2 linked regions of the Xenopus tropicalis genome follow. The protein of the gene in region 1 binds, or shares a complex with, the protein of each later gene. Links are inferred from orthologs where the notes say so. Each region holds a gene or a part of one and is shown on either strand. Other genes may lie near its edges.

Region 1 (4,070 bases):
TTACTTCAGGTTGTTTAAGAACAGGTTTCTTAAAAGGCGTAAACTGTGGAACCTGGGGCACTGGAGTTCTCTTTTCAGGCAACGAAGCTTGGGAAATATTAGGGGGAGTGGGTATTTTGAAAGAGCTCTCTAACTTGGCTTTCTCTGGAGTAGCGGCTTCAGCCACACCGATACTAGGTACGGCTATAGGAATGTCTCCTTGAGAAGCTTTAAGTGGTAATGTGGTAACGGCCGAAGGAATGGAGACCCTTGGTTTTCCAATATTAGGCAAAGTAGCAAATCTCTTTCTACGCTGGAGAGGTGTAGATGTTGCACATGCCTGAACTTCAGCACCAGTTGGGACAGCATGTTTGCACCTGACAGAACAAATGGTATAGTATAAGAAGAAATAACAAAAAAGCAGCCAATTTAATGCATAGTCATATGTGAAAAAAGGTTAATTTTCCTTACGGCACCACAGAGTGCATTACAATTGATTGTAGACACAATCACCATATATTTTTACCTATAATGCAGCACTTTTTCCCGATACAACTGTGGCATCAATGTGCCAAAAATGGTGCAATAACTCTTGCATTGTGGTGGGAATCAGACATAATCGAGCTAAAAATTGTTTTAAGTCTGGTTGGTGTCATTTCCAGTGTTTGGTTTGTGCACCATATTTCTGATGCAGGCCCCTGTGGGAGCCCTGGAGTTACTGCCTGCTGCTTCAGGGTCCCCCAAACATCGGTATCTACTATTTTTGGATTCGGCCAAAATTTTCAACTTCCAATTCGGATTCCGTTTGGCCAGGAACATGGATTCGGTCCATCCCTCTTAGGCAGGAAGGACTGCATGGCAACTCTAAAGAAGTGCAAGGAGTGCCTTATGGCACAAATGCCTTCAGCTAGTTTAGATGTTTGGCAATATCCAGTAGTCCAAAAATTTCTTTAGACTTGTATTAAAATAATGGTATCACCCAAAGAAGTCTATGGTGCCACTAGGCAGGCCTTGGAGGGCCACATCTTTTAAACATGCACCCTGCAGAAAAAAAACTCTGCTCTATTTTACAACTTTCATTTATTTTATCTTAGATTAGAAATTATGACTTAATAACTCATCATGGGCACAGAACTTTTTTCAATATGAACACTGGTACTTTGACCCTCTATTTGAGGGGAATGCTTTCCCCCTGGCACTAGCACTAAAAGCTGTTCTTAGTTGCAGTAAATAGTTGTAAAAAGATTCACACACACATCTGTCTACTCTCCCAGGGATTATGGCACAAAGCATGAATTTAGTAGCCTATAATAAAGCTTGCTCACAGCAGTTATTCTGCTCTCCTCAATCCTAAACCTTTTTAACACTGGGATTCGGCGAGTGCCCACTCTACATGTGAGTTCACAAAGCTTACAGTAATGATTATTCCCTGAGCAAAAAACAAGGGCTACAACTAATGTTCTAGAGCAGGGATCCCCAACCTTTTTTACTAGTGAGCCACATATCACAGTTCTTCGGGGATGCAAAATAAGGGCTGTCATTGGCTTGTGATTGGCTATTTAGCGACTAATCTCCCCATAATGACATCCCACCGGCTAGAATGTAAGTCACCGGTGGGATGGCATACGCGGCGCTGCGATTTGCAAAAATCAGCAAAGTTGCCTTGAGAGGAAACTTCGGCGATTTACATTCTAGCCTGTGGAATGGCATTAGGGGGATAGTAGTTGCCCGTGACTAATCTCCCCGTCTGTCCCGGCCCTAAGGGCTCTGGCACACGGGGGAGATTAATCTCCCCGAGTTGCCATGACCCGCCATCCCGCCGGCGAACATGTAAGTCGCTGGCGGGATGGCACACGCGGGGCGAGTCTTTTTCGGCGATTTGCGCGAAATCGCGCCGCCGCGTCTGTCATCCCGCCAGCGACTTACATGTTCGCCGGTGGGATGGCAGGGGTAGGCAACTCGGGGAGATTAGTCGCCCGCGAACAGGGAGTTTTGTCGCGGGCGACTAATCTCCCCCATGTGCCAGAGCCCTAAAGCAACCTGCCATTGCTGAAAGACTGCATCACAACTATGTGATGATTAAAAAAAAAACAACTTCAAACACAGTAAAATTCCTTTACATCAAACTTATTTTCCCTTTATCTAACAGCGCCCCCTATAGGGGGGACAGATTATAGATAGACAGTGCCAATCAGCTGTCACTCACAGGCCTGTTCCCTTCTCCTCCTCTTCCTGGACAAACGAGTCCCCTCTGTCAGCAGCAGCCGATACCGTTGTCGCTCCCTCTGTCTCAGCCACATCAGACACCGCCACTCCGTTATCCTTCTCGACGGTTTCATGGTTCGGGCATGGGGGTTCCTGAGAGGCCCTGTTGGGATCGGTAGCAATGCCACCACTGCCGGGTGTTGTACCGGGGCTAGGGCCAGGGCCGCGGCCGCCCGGCTTAACATTGGGTTTGAAACTTAACCGCGCTCTTCGGATCATGGTATGCGGTGTCGCAATCAGCTGCGTCTCCACTTCCTCATCCCTGGGAAGCGCTTACACTAGCCCCTTCCTTAGCGCTCACACTAGCCCCTCCCTTAGCGCTCACACTAGCCCCTCCCTTAGCGCTCACACTAGCCCCTCCCTTAGCGCTCACACTAGCCCCTTCCTTAGCGCTCACACTAGCCCCTCCCTTAGCGCTCACACTAGCCCCTTCCTTAGCGCTCACACTAGCCCTTTCCTCAGCGCTCACGCTGCCAGCACAGTCACGTGGGTTGGAGAGATTCCACAATGACATCATCCAGCGGCGACCTGTACTGGCGTCATAGGCTGGAGCAGAGACTGGCAAAATGTCGCCTGGCGGATATTTACTAGGCAAGTGGTAACAGCTAAAATAACTTACTATGAGCGGTGGGTTGTGTCTAGTTCCAAGTTGCTAATGGAACAGAGCAGTTTTACAGACTGGGAAATAGATCTTTCAGTGTAGTTGGGCTAAAATCTAGTGGGAAAAGGAACAGTAATAGAAACTAGGCAATTTCTTCAGACATATCTAGTTCCTAGTTGGTAATAGAACAGAGCAGCTTTACAGATTAGGACATTGATCTTTCAGTATAGTTTTGCTAACATCTAGTGGGAAAAGGAACAGTAATAGAAACTAGACGATATGGTCAGATATATCTAGTGTCAAGTTGGTAATGGAACAGTGTACCTTTATATATAAGGAAATAGACTTTTTTTTATATAGTTGGACTATATTCAAGTTGGAAAATGAATAATCATAGGAATTATAAAATATAGTGCATGTAGGATAGATCCTACTTGTTTTTACGGAATTTTTCGTTGTGCGTCAAAAAGGACGTGGTCACGTAAAATCGGGCATGGTCACATCAACAAAAAGGCAGGTTTGCAGCAAAAAAGCACGGGCGACAAAAAAATAGACACAGGCGACATAAAATAGACGTGCGTGTCCCTGTGTATGCCATACTCTGTCTTCCCTACCCTGCCTGTATATGCCATACTCTGTCTTCCCTACCCTGCCTGTGTGTGCCATACTCTGCCTGCCCTATGCTGCCTGTGTGTGCCTTACTCTGCCTGCCCTATGCTGCCTGTGTATGCCATACCCTGTCTGCGCTACCCTGCCTGTGTATGCCATACTCTGTCTTCCCTACCCTGCCTGTATATGCCATACTCTGTCTTCCCTACCCTGCCTGTGTGTGTCATACTCTGTCTTCCCTACCCTGCCTGTATATGCCATACTCTGTCTTCCCTACCCTGCCTGTGTGTGCCATACTCTGCCTGCCCTACCCTGCCTGTGTGTGCCATACTCTGCCTGCCCTACCCTGCCTGTGTGTGCCATACTCTGCCTGTCCTATGCTGCCTGTGTGTGCCATACTCTGCCTGCCCTATGCTGTCTGTGTGTATGGCACACATAGACAGCATAGAGTGACACAATACTGGCACTGCTCCTACAGTCTGCACAATAACTATAAAATAAAAAAAACTTTTTAATTGCAGTACCACCTCAGTATACAGTATGTTCTTTTTAGAGTGTGAAGGGATTATTTGTGGGTTTCTACTGCTCCTACAGTCTGAGGTGTGAACAGGTGAAC
Region 2 (10,852 bases), on another chromosome or scaffold:
GGCACCCCAGGTACATTTTTCATTCTTGCGTTTCTTCCAAACATTTTTTACATCTGAATGTGGTACATGGGTAAAAAAAAAAGATTGGGGACCCCTGGATTACAAATATGTTGTAGCGCTGAGGGCACTGCGGCTGTGACTGCAAAGCATAAACACCACTTCAAGTTGCACAGGTTTCCATGTCCTGTAATGTATCTACCATACATTCCCTGCAGATCATTATTATCCTAATTATACCCCATCTACCAACATTTGTAGGGGTTTGTTGGCTGCCGTGTCTGGCCCATGGCATTCTTTTTCTAAACTAGCTGGCAGCCAGGAGAATGTACCTGACTTCAACTGTTTAAATGATGTCAAGCAGCCAGACATGGTGGCCAACAGCCATGCTGCTCCACTATACTTTATTAATAGGTACGGGCAATTGGGCTGTTTTTGGGGAGGGTGATTCTGCAGGGAATGTATGATATATACATGGGATTACTAAACCAGTGGTTCCACATAAGCCTACCACAAAGCATTAAATGGGTGGTTCACCTTTTAGTACGTTATAGAATATCCTATTCCTCAAAACTTTGCAATTGGCTTTATTTATTTGTTGTTTTTTTTTTTGTTTTGTTTTTTTAATTATTTGCTTTCCTTTACTGCCTTTTTCTAGGTTTAAGATGGGGGTCACTGACCCTGGCACACAAAAATCTATTGCTCCCTGAGGCTAAAGTGTTATTGTTGCTTTTTATTACTTATCTTTCTATTCAGTCCTTCACCTTTTCATATTCCAGTCTCTCATTTAAATTACTGTCTGGTTGCTAGAATAAAACATTAGCAACCAGGTAGCTGCTAAAATGTCAAAGTGGAGAGCTGCCAAACAAAAAGCTAAATTGAAACTGAAAAACCACAAAAAAAAAAAAATGAAGGCCAATTGCAAATCGTCTCAAAATATCCCTGCCGGCATCATTTTAACAAGACTAGAACTAGACCCAGGGTGCCAAAAAGGTTTGTAAATAAGTTATTCATAGGTACCATGGGCACATGAAAGCTTGCATTTCTCACCTTCTGCAGTGACTCATCACAAGGTTCTGGAGGCTAACAGATGGGACATCCAGTTTCAGTACTTGCACTATGCTCAGGAAAATGCTCGCAAACAGTTCTTTCTTGGCATAAACCAAAGAGCAAATAGTAGCCATAGTGATAGGCCATTGGTGCTGCCTGCAAGTGATGTACACACAGCAGCCCACAATTATCTCCTTCTTCTCAATGGAGACAGAGTGGTACAGGGGATGCTTATAAGCTTGTTCATAGTAGGATACTGCTGTATCTGAAAAGCCGTCAGGTAGTCTTAGGACTCTGCAGATATTCCGCACACGTACAATTCCTGTGGGACAAAAGACAAGAGTAGCTCCCAAGAAGTACAATATTGGATCACATACAGTTCTGTATCTACTGTTCAAAATAGCATCAAGGTACATATGAATTAACTCATAATATATCCCAGCTTCTCTATGACCACTTGCTGCTCTTTAGATGATTAACAAGTTATAAATTATAGTATAGAACAGTTTATCTGCCAAATGAGAGGACCTTTACCTAATGTGGCGACTAACATGCTGAGCCAAATCAGAACAATCCATATCATATTAGATCAGTGCTGTCCAACTTCTGTGGTACTGAGGGCCGGAATTTTTCCGGCCTACATGGAGGAGGGCCGATAATGGAAACCAATTTTGACCACTCCCCTTTTTAAACCACACCCACTTGAAACCATACCCATGTTATCACATGATCATACCCAAAAAACCTGCCATACTCTGCCTTCCCTACCCTGCCTGTGTGTGCCATACTCTGCCTGCCCTACCTGTGTGTGCCCTGCCCTGCCTGTGTGTGCCCTGCCCTGCCTGTGTGTGCCCTACCCTGCCTGTGTGTGCCCTACCCTGCCTGTGTGTGCCCTACCCTGCCTGTGTGTGCCCTACCCTGCCTGTGTGTGCCCTACCCTGCCTGTGTGTGCCCTACCCTGCCTGTGTGTGCCCTACCCTACCTGTGTGTGCCATACTCTGCCTATGTGTGCCATACTCTTGACTGCCCTATGGTGCCTGTGTGTAGTACCACCTCAGTATATGTTCTTTTTATAGTGTGCAGGGTTTATTTGTGGGTTTCTACTGCTCCTCCTGAGGTGTGAACAATGTGGGTGATTACAGTCTGAGCCTGAGGTGTGAACAATGCAGGGATTAAAAGGTGTGAACAACACAGGGGATTACATTATTAAACAATACAGGGAAATTACAGCGTGAATTTGAGGTGTGAACGACGCAGGGGGCCAGTTAATCACAGTACTGATACCATTTAAAGTTTACACTAAGGTAAGACATCAAAGCAGCCAGACAGGTGGGGGGCCACACAGAGGGGGGTCGCGGGCCGCATGCCAGTTGGACAGCACTGCATTAGATCATAAATCATCATCATGAGATCACGGCATCAACGTGTTTGTATGGGATTTTCACTCGCCCAATAGATATCTGGCTAAAAACTGGGCAGATATTGGTTGGGCATGCCGCCTGGAGGGCCCCATACACAGGCCAGTAAGCTGCCAACTGTCATAAGGTTTTATCAGCTCATGCATAACCAATCATGCTAAGGAAATTTGTATCAATTAGTGTATAACAAACCAGTTCCTGCACATTTCAAACATGCAGAACATTTTGACTGGACACTTCTGCTACAGAACCAGAATGTTAGGTTGTGAAAGCACACAGATAAACAAAATGATACCCCCAATAATGCATTATGCAGAGGCAGCAGGTATGATAAATGGGCAAAGTGCTCCTGAATGTTTTAAATCAATGAGATGCTTAGCTCTGTCCTTATGGAATAACTTGCTGTCCTTGCATGAGAATGTAATGTACTGTGGTTTCTGACATGAATGCACACCCATGCTGTGTAAAAAGTGGAATAAAACATTATCGGTGATGTTGCTCATAGCAGCCAATCAGATGCTTTGCTTTGCTAACTGTTGAAATCTAATTGCTGATTGGTTGCCTTGGGCAACATCACCGGTAATGCTTCACTCCACTTTTTACACAAGAAGTATGTGTTGGCTCTACAACAAAGGTGCTTCCTACAGACAGAGGCCTTCATGCCCAGAAGTGCCTCATGCAGAATATTGCCTGTACATCTCCAGCAAACACTTACCCCGGAGCTTACTAACGGTCATCGAGTCATTCTCTCCGGTGCTGTCGGCAAATCTCACAGCTGTAAACAAAAACAAGAAAGGGTTATGGATCCAAGGGCATTCAGAACTACAGGCACAGAAAGTAAGAACAAAAACCAGAATGCGGGCTGACATTTATAGTAAGAACAGGCAGCCAAGTTAACACAAACTTATTTGGTCAATAACACACAGGAACGAATCAGCATGATCTGATCATTTGGCTGTTGTACCAATGATCACTAAGGTGATGCATTAGGAAAGGATTACATCAATTTGCTCAATTTGATTTTATAACCTGCCCAATTGATATTTAGCCCATTTTCATATACATATTGGTTGGGTGGGATATTGGGAGGACCCCATACACATGCCAGTAAGCTGCCAACCTGGGTCTGGAGTGACTGAATCAGAAGCTTATCTCAGTCTGCTTATGGTAGAGCAAAAGTATTTGCCAGGATCAGGTTAAAGAACCTTGGGGCCGATTCACTAAAGTGCGAAATAACGTGCGCTATTTATAGCGTGCGGTAAAAATTTTATCGCGTCTTAATTTTCGCACGATTCACTATAAGCATACTTGCGCTATTTTACGCGCGATATTGCATGCGTTATTTAACTCGCGAAGACTATTTCAATGCGGTATTTGCCGGTACATGCGCTAAATAACGCTCGCATTTAGTCGCCAGATATAAATAGTAGCTTAGAAATAGTATATAAACTGTCGCCGCATATAAATAGTAGATGCTTATAAATAGTAGCCACTAGTGATGAGCAAATGTGTTCTGGTTATCTTTGGTGAAAAATTAGCAAATCTTTCGAAAGATCCACGAAACGGCAAAAATGTTGTGCGGGCAAAAAAATTGTTGCCCGCGACTATTATATTTTTTGACGCTTTTGTAAATTTTTGGACGTGCGGTGAATTTTTGCGTGGCGAATTTTTTTATGCGTTTTGCCATTGGCAGATTGTTTTGCGAAACGCATGAAAAAATTTGCCGCAGAAAAATTCGCTGCACGTCCAAAAATTCGCTGCGAATCCATGCCTGGCGAAACATTTAATCACTTGTAGCCGCATATAAATAGTCGTGCAACTGAACGCACGCCATGTTAGCCATACACGCCAATACTTGCGGAAAATTACTGTATTAAAAATGACCATTTCCCTGCAAACTGGCGGCTGCGTCACTCTAGGGGAAACACATACCGTATATACTCGAGTATAAGCCGATCCGAATATAAGCCGAGGTACCTAATTTTACCTAAGAAAACTGGAAAAACTTATTGACTCGAGTATAAGCCTAGGGTGGCAAATGCAGCAGCTACTGCTAAGTTTTAACAATCAAAATAAATACCCATAAAATTACATTAATTGAGGCATCAGTGGGGTATATGTTTTTCAATATTTATTTCAAAGAAAAACAGTAAACTAGCTCTGTAAGCGGAGAAGAGGGTCAACAAAAACAATATGAGTACTACCCCACACTCATTGCACATTGGCAAACTGGCAGCAGACCCGGTCCCGGAGGAGATGTAAGGGGAAATAAGTATTGCTAGTGGGAGCCTAGGCCAGGGCACTGGAGGGTCTGGTTGCGGGTGGCCTAATTTGCACACAAAGGAGAGAGGGTGCTAGTCTAGAGGGACCCATGGCACCTGGCTCGAGTATAAGCCGAGGGTGACTTTTTTCAGCACATTTTGGGTGCTGAAAAACTAGGCTTATACTCGAGTATATACAGTACTTGAATAAATAACACTGCAAAGTCCATATTTTATTGCCAAAAACTCATTTACTGTACTTTTCTATAATTATTATACCTAGTAATGTATTTTGTGCGACTAAATATTTACCGCTATAGTACTGTATATTTTGGCAACTAAATATTTACCGCTACAGTACTGTATATTTTGGCGACTAAATATTTACCGCTACAGTACTGTATATTTTGGCGACTAAATATTTACCGCTATAGTACTGTATATTAGTAGCAAAATTCCATACATGCCAAGACTTTAGTAAAATTGAGTAAAAAGACACATACTTGAATAAATAACACTGCTAAGTCCATATTTTATTGCCAAAAACTCATTTACTGTACTTTTCTATAATTGTAGAAACCTGTAGTAGGTGTTAATTTTCGCATAGCCTAATGCGATATTTAGCGCGCCTAAGTGATTGTGAATCATGCGATCGCATTCTTTTCAGCGCGGAAATTAACGCATGTGTTAAGACTAGCGCATGCTATATGGCGACTTAACGCACGCGATAGTAGTATGGTGAATTGCGCGCTAATTATTGCGTCTAATTTAACTCAAAAAAGTGCGCGATAAGATTTATCGCACTTTAGTGAATCAACCCCCTTGTATCAGTTAGTGAACTCGTTTCTACACAATTTCATCCTCATCTGATGGTTTTTCTGATCTACTTGATAGACATCTGGCCAATTTTCGGGCAAATGCCCATTAGGCAAATAAACATATGATCTGCAATAACAAATGATTTAGGCAAGGGTGGGTGCCCAGGCTAGCATTACTGCCATTCTGTGCTTGAATGTAGCCAGGGAACTATCTGCAAGGAGTTTCTATGTTTGCCTTATATTTGTGTGGGTTTCCTTTGGTTTCCTCCCACATGCAAAAAACATTTAGGCAGGTTAATAGACTCTGATTATAAGTTTTTTTTGCAGTCCCTGGTACAGTACCACCTGAGGAAAGGGCCTTGCATGGCTTTATTGCAAAAATGCCACTGGTGGGAACTAGCAGGCCAGTTCCTGAAACCCACAAAACATGAAGGCAAGTATTACTCTAAGGGTGAAGACACACGGAGCTACTAGTAGCAGCTACTTGTCGTGGCTACTAAAATAGACAATGCTGATCATTTACTGATAACTGTCTCTACGTGTTTTATCAGAGGCAATTCTCAGCATTGTCTATGGCAGGGGATTTTCTGGCATTTAGTAGCTGCTACTAGTTGCTCTGTGTCTTCACCCTAAGACTAAATCCACCCTCAGTGACACCATTCTACAAATTTTAAAGCCTCATAGAGATGTTTTTAGTAGAAAGGCCAGGCAGAAAGAACTAAGGCACAGAATGCCTAGCTGGGCAAAACAAGGCCTATATATGGAAAGAGGGCTGAATGCAGAGGTACCCCAGCTGTGCAATTTCTCCCCACACTTAGATTGTAAGCTTTATGCAGCAGGGTCTTCCTTCTTACAATGTCTTTTTTTTACAGTGTGTATATGGCACATAATCTCTCTCTCATGAACAACTGGAAAGTGGTAGCAAAGTTCTGCTTGTGGCACACAACTCCCAGAATGCACGGCAAGAGCAGCAGCACCGGAAGCCATGCACACAGCTGAGACTCACGCTGAGCCACACACCTTGCAAGTGACTCTCCTCCGCAGCGGTGGTGGTGATTAGGCCTTCACTCAGAATACAGCCGCAGTCGGCACACACCACCTGATCCTGGGAATAGTGCGCATCCTCCACTATATCTGAGGAGCCGCAATCAGGACATTGCTTCGCGCCCGACATTTTCGCTAACTGTGCATCCAAACAAGCGCGGAACCATAAGACTTCTGTCACTATAGGTACGCCCCGCTTTTCTTCCTACCTCCCTATTAGCTGATAGAGCGGTTTCACATTCTATGACATCACTTCCCATGTCGGGGAAGAGGCGGGATAAGACTTGGCTGAACCGGAAGTAAGGTGATATTAGTATTGTTATCGTCCTTTTTCTAGTAATTAATTAAAATAAAATCGGAAGAGACTGAGACTGTGCCTGACTGCGCCTATTTATTCTACATTAGAGCTGAGTAATATCACTGGAGATTAATTTGTGTCACAATCTGTCAGACTGAGCGTGTAGATTAAACACAGACAGATGCTAAAAATGTAAACACACTGTGCCAACACTGGGGGGCGCTGATGCTATAACTATTTTTTTGTACATCTGTTGTTTGTGTAGCGCCAAAACATTAACCTAGCGTTTATAGAGGGTCATACACTTTGCAGAACGTAGAGTGCAAAGTGCGGGAAAAAAAAAAAGAAAAGACCGCAGTCTGCGCTCCCCCTGCCCATTCCCTAACTCGACATTCAACATAGGGAGGAGTAGGCCAACTATGCCTCCTTACTAGTGATGAGCAAAAATTTTTCCATAGATTATAATGGCTGCAAAAATGTTGCTTGGTAAGAAGAATGCTGATTGACTTCAATGCGTTCTGCAAATTTTTACAAATCTTTTGCAAAATGGGACAGGTTTGCTCATTATTACCCCTGACGCTGCACTTTGCTCCTCATATAATCTGGCACAGGGAGCAGAGTGCAGCTTTCCCTGGGGCACAAGTGGTTGTTAGATGAGCACTACGGGGTGTACACTTGTGTCATTGGGAAATTTAGACTTACTTATATCAGGGATCCCCAACCTTTCTTACTCTTGAGCCACAGTCAAATGTAAAAAGACTTGGAGAGCAACACAAGCACCATAAAAGTTCATGGAGGAGCCAAATAAGGGCTAAGATTGGCTATTAGGCAGCCTCTATGCACACTATCAGCTTACAGGGGGCTTTATTTGGTAGTAAATCTTGTTTTTATTCAGCCAAAACTTGCACCCAAGGAATTTAAAAATAACTACCTGTATGTTTTTGGAGGAAAACCACACAGGCACAGGGAGAACATACACACTGCTTACAGTCAGGAATCAAACTCAGGACCCCAGTACTGCAAGGCTCCCCAGGAGCCCTGGAATATATAGTTTAGAAAGATGGTGGTGCTGTGCTAGGTATGGAAGATTTCTAGACACAGTCATATCTATATATAGGCACCCAAGGGCCTGTGACTAGGGGGGCAGCCGTGGGGACCACTCTCAGGTGCCTATATAATCAATAAATATTAAAAATTGAAAAAGTAAAAATCCTCAGGTGCACTCATGCGTGATGTCTTTTCTGCCGTCTCGTAGGGTGGCCCCGGACCTAAACACTTCCCTACACTAGGTAGCACTTCTTTTCCATGGGTGTAACTATAAAAGAAACAGACCTTGCAGTCGTGGGGGTGGGACAGGGGGGCCTGAATCATGGTGTTTGCTTCCTCTATAGTTCTTTGATATCCCCCCTCCCCAACCACTCTCCTCCCTAGCAAGGGGGGCGCATAGGGGTTGCTGTCAGCGCCTTCGCAGATTTTTTTGCCAAAGCCCCTTTTATTGTGCTTTAAGAGAATATGATTTTTTAGTAGAACAGTTTGTGTGGGGGATTCCTGGGTAAGTACTAGCCCACACTGGAACTAAATGCCTGTTAAATAGCACTTGTCCCTCCAGGTTACAGCAATAAACAATTGACCCTTGTTTTAAGAATCACTGGCACCTAGGTTATTACAGATGTGTTAGTTATATAAAGAAATGCCTTCATACCACAAGGGAGGGCCCATCTGAAAGAGCGAGTGGTGGGTAACCTGGCCTTAGCTGGGAGTAGCAGGGGACAGAGTAAATTCACAAATACAGATAGATAAAATATAAAATTAATCACATTAAAATACAAATTATATCTAAATGGGTGGGTACCTTAGATCTAGGGGCTGCTAGTTACAAAGGCTAGGGCTTTCGCATTTGCAAAGTAGAGTTGGCCAAGTCCCAGTTTAAAAACCTAATATCTTAAAAACTAGAAAAAAACATTAATAATGTAAGTTGCAAAAGTGTTTGGAGGGTTTATAATTCACCACACAGAATGAAAAAAACAAATACTGTACATCTGGTCCGTACAATAGGCAGCAAGCTGATTATAATGGAGAAAGTGCCGTACAGAGGTGCAGGTATAAGTACATTTGTGTTATTGCTGCACTGTGTGCATAGGGAAGGGGCATAGGGAAGGGGAATGGGGAACTGGTGCATGTGATGTGGAATAAGGAAGCAGCTCAGTTTACAGCAGCACTGACTCACCAGTTAGGGGATTATTAGAGATATCTCCAGTGAATGTAAATGTGACCCAACAGATATCACTTACTGCATGAATTGGCACAAATAGTAACGGTCTGTATAGGCTGGGCTGCCTGGCGTATGGCACAGTGTGGATTCTCTGTACGGTTCAGCACTTCAGCTGGAGGGAGAAGGCAAAGTGGTGCTTTGCTCTATTATGTCCCTATTTCATTCTTTTGGGAAAGTTCTGGCAAACATTCGGCATAGCAAACATTTCCAAGCACTTCCCAGACAGCACCCCAATACCCCATGAACTGTATTCAAAGGAAATATAAACCCCCCAAACAAATTCATGTCCAATTGCAGCAACTGCTCTTTTGAGCACTTTTCCAATTTATATATTTTTTAAGTCTTGTGATGTTGCTTTGGCAAGTTAATTAGTGAGTCGTCATCTAAGGTTTCTCTGTTCAGCTCTAAGCAAAGTATCATTACAAGGATTCCCTTCTATCACTAACTTAAAGAGGTTGTTCAACTTTGAGTTAACTTTTAGTATGACGTAGAGAGCACTATTCTGAGACAATTTTCAAATGGTCTTCATTTTCTATTATCATATATAAAAAAAATGGAAAAGTTGCTTTGAATTGGCCATTCTATAACATAAGTTAACTTAAAGGGGTTGTTTACTTTTAAGCTAACTTTTAGTATGTTTTTTGTCTAATTCTAAGCAACTTTTCAATTGGTTTTCCTTTTTTTATAGTTTTTTTTTATTTATTTGCCTCTTTCCAGCTTTCAAATGGGGGTCACTGATCCCAGAAGCCAAAAAACTATTGCTGCGAGGCTACAATTTTGTTGTTGTTAATATTTATTACTTACCCTCCCCCATTAATATTTCAGTCTCTCATTCAAATCACAACTGCTCTGACCCACCCACAAAACAAAAACTGCCCCAGTTACGTGCCATACACTATGTAGCAATAGCAAGACTCTGCTGCAAGTAACCATGAAACTATTTTGGTACAGTTTACATAATACTGATAATCTTGAGTTCCAAACGCCAGCTTGTCCTTTCATATCCAGTTGGCAGAAGCCTCAGAGTGGTCGAGCATTGTCCATTGAGCAAAGTAAGTGCAGAATAAGGGATACCTTTTATTGGTTAACTGAGATTGTTTTGGAATCTTCTGCAGGCCTGGCACAATGGGCAGCCCATAAAGCTAGAGAGCGACCCATAGCAAGGTGTGGGTAGAATTGATAGCCATGTAAATCAGTTGCTCAGTGTGCACCCAGCATGGCAGAACTCCATATCTGCTCCAAACACACTCTAGTGAGGACACATGAAGGTCCTTATTGTATTCATGTGATGTTTTCATGGCAAGGGTTTACATTATGGGCTATAAACCAATCTGGCAGCAGCTGCAGTTTTATCTCTGTTTCACATACAGATAGGCCGTCCCACTGCTGTTATTGTTACACCTTATTCACAGTATGAACAAGTGAAGCTCATTGCAACTTTCAAATGAAGCCAATTTGCTGCTTACATGGAAGTATTCCAGTGAGTCCATATTAGAGGAATCTAAGGACACCAGGCTTCAGTGCATTAATAATAATGACTACATAAGAGAACCCCCTGTTATTATCTCTTAAGGAGCTCTGTGGATTGCTGTACACAGCTATTTATTTATACATTTAAATGCCCTTTTCCTGACAATAAATACCTTTAGGCTGTACATGTGAGAACAATTATGTAGGTAACTGATGACTCCTTG

What was found. Proteins that work in one complex are often made in the same cells at the same time.
Region 2: bdp1 (region 1) and brf2 share a complex: the UniProt entries of both Homo sapiens proteins name them as parts of the TFIIIB complex. The link is inferred for Xenopus tropicalis from reciprocal best matches to the Homo sapiens genes BDP1 and BRF2.

What each region holds. Positions count from the first base shown.
Region 1 is NC_030677.2:182,614,086-182,618,155, reverse strand, and holds the start of bdp1 (transcription factor TFIIIB component B'' homolog), read right to left. Parts: upstream 2,801-4,070; 5' UTR 2,464-2,800; coding exon 2,186-2,463; intron 357-2,185; coding exon 1-356. UniProt on the Homo sapiens protein: General activator of RNA polymerase III transcription. Requires for transcription from all three types of polymerase III promoters. Requires for transcription of genes with internal promoter elements and with promoter elements upstream of the initiation site.
Region 2 is NC_030679.2:119,000,029-119,010,880, reverse strand, and holds the start of brf2 (transcription factor IIIB 50 kDa subunit), read right to left. Parts: upstream 6,819-10,852; 5' UTR 6,719-6,818; coding exon 6,565-6,718; intron 3,241-6,564; coding exon 3,181-3,240; intron 1,370-3,180; coding exon 1,048-1,369; intron 1-1,047. UniProt on the Homo sapiens protein: General activator of RNA polymerase III transcription. Factor exclusively required for RNA polymerase III transcription of genes with promoter elements upstream of the initiation sites.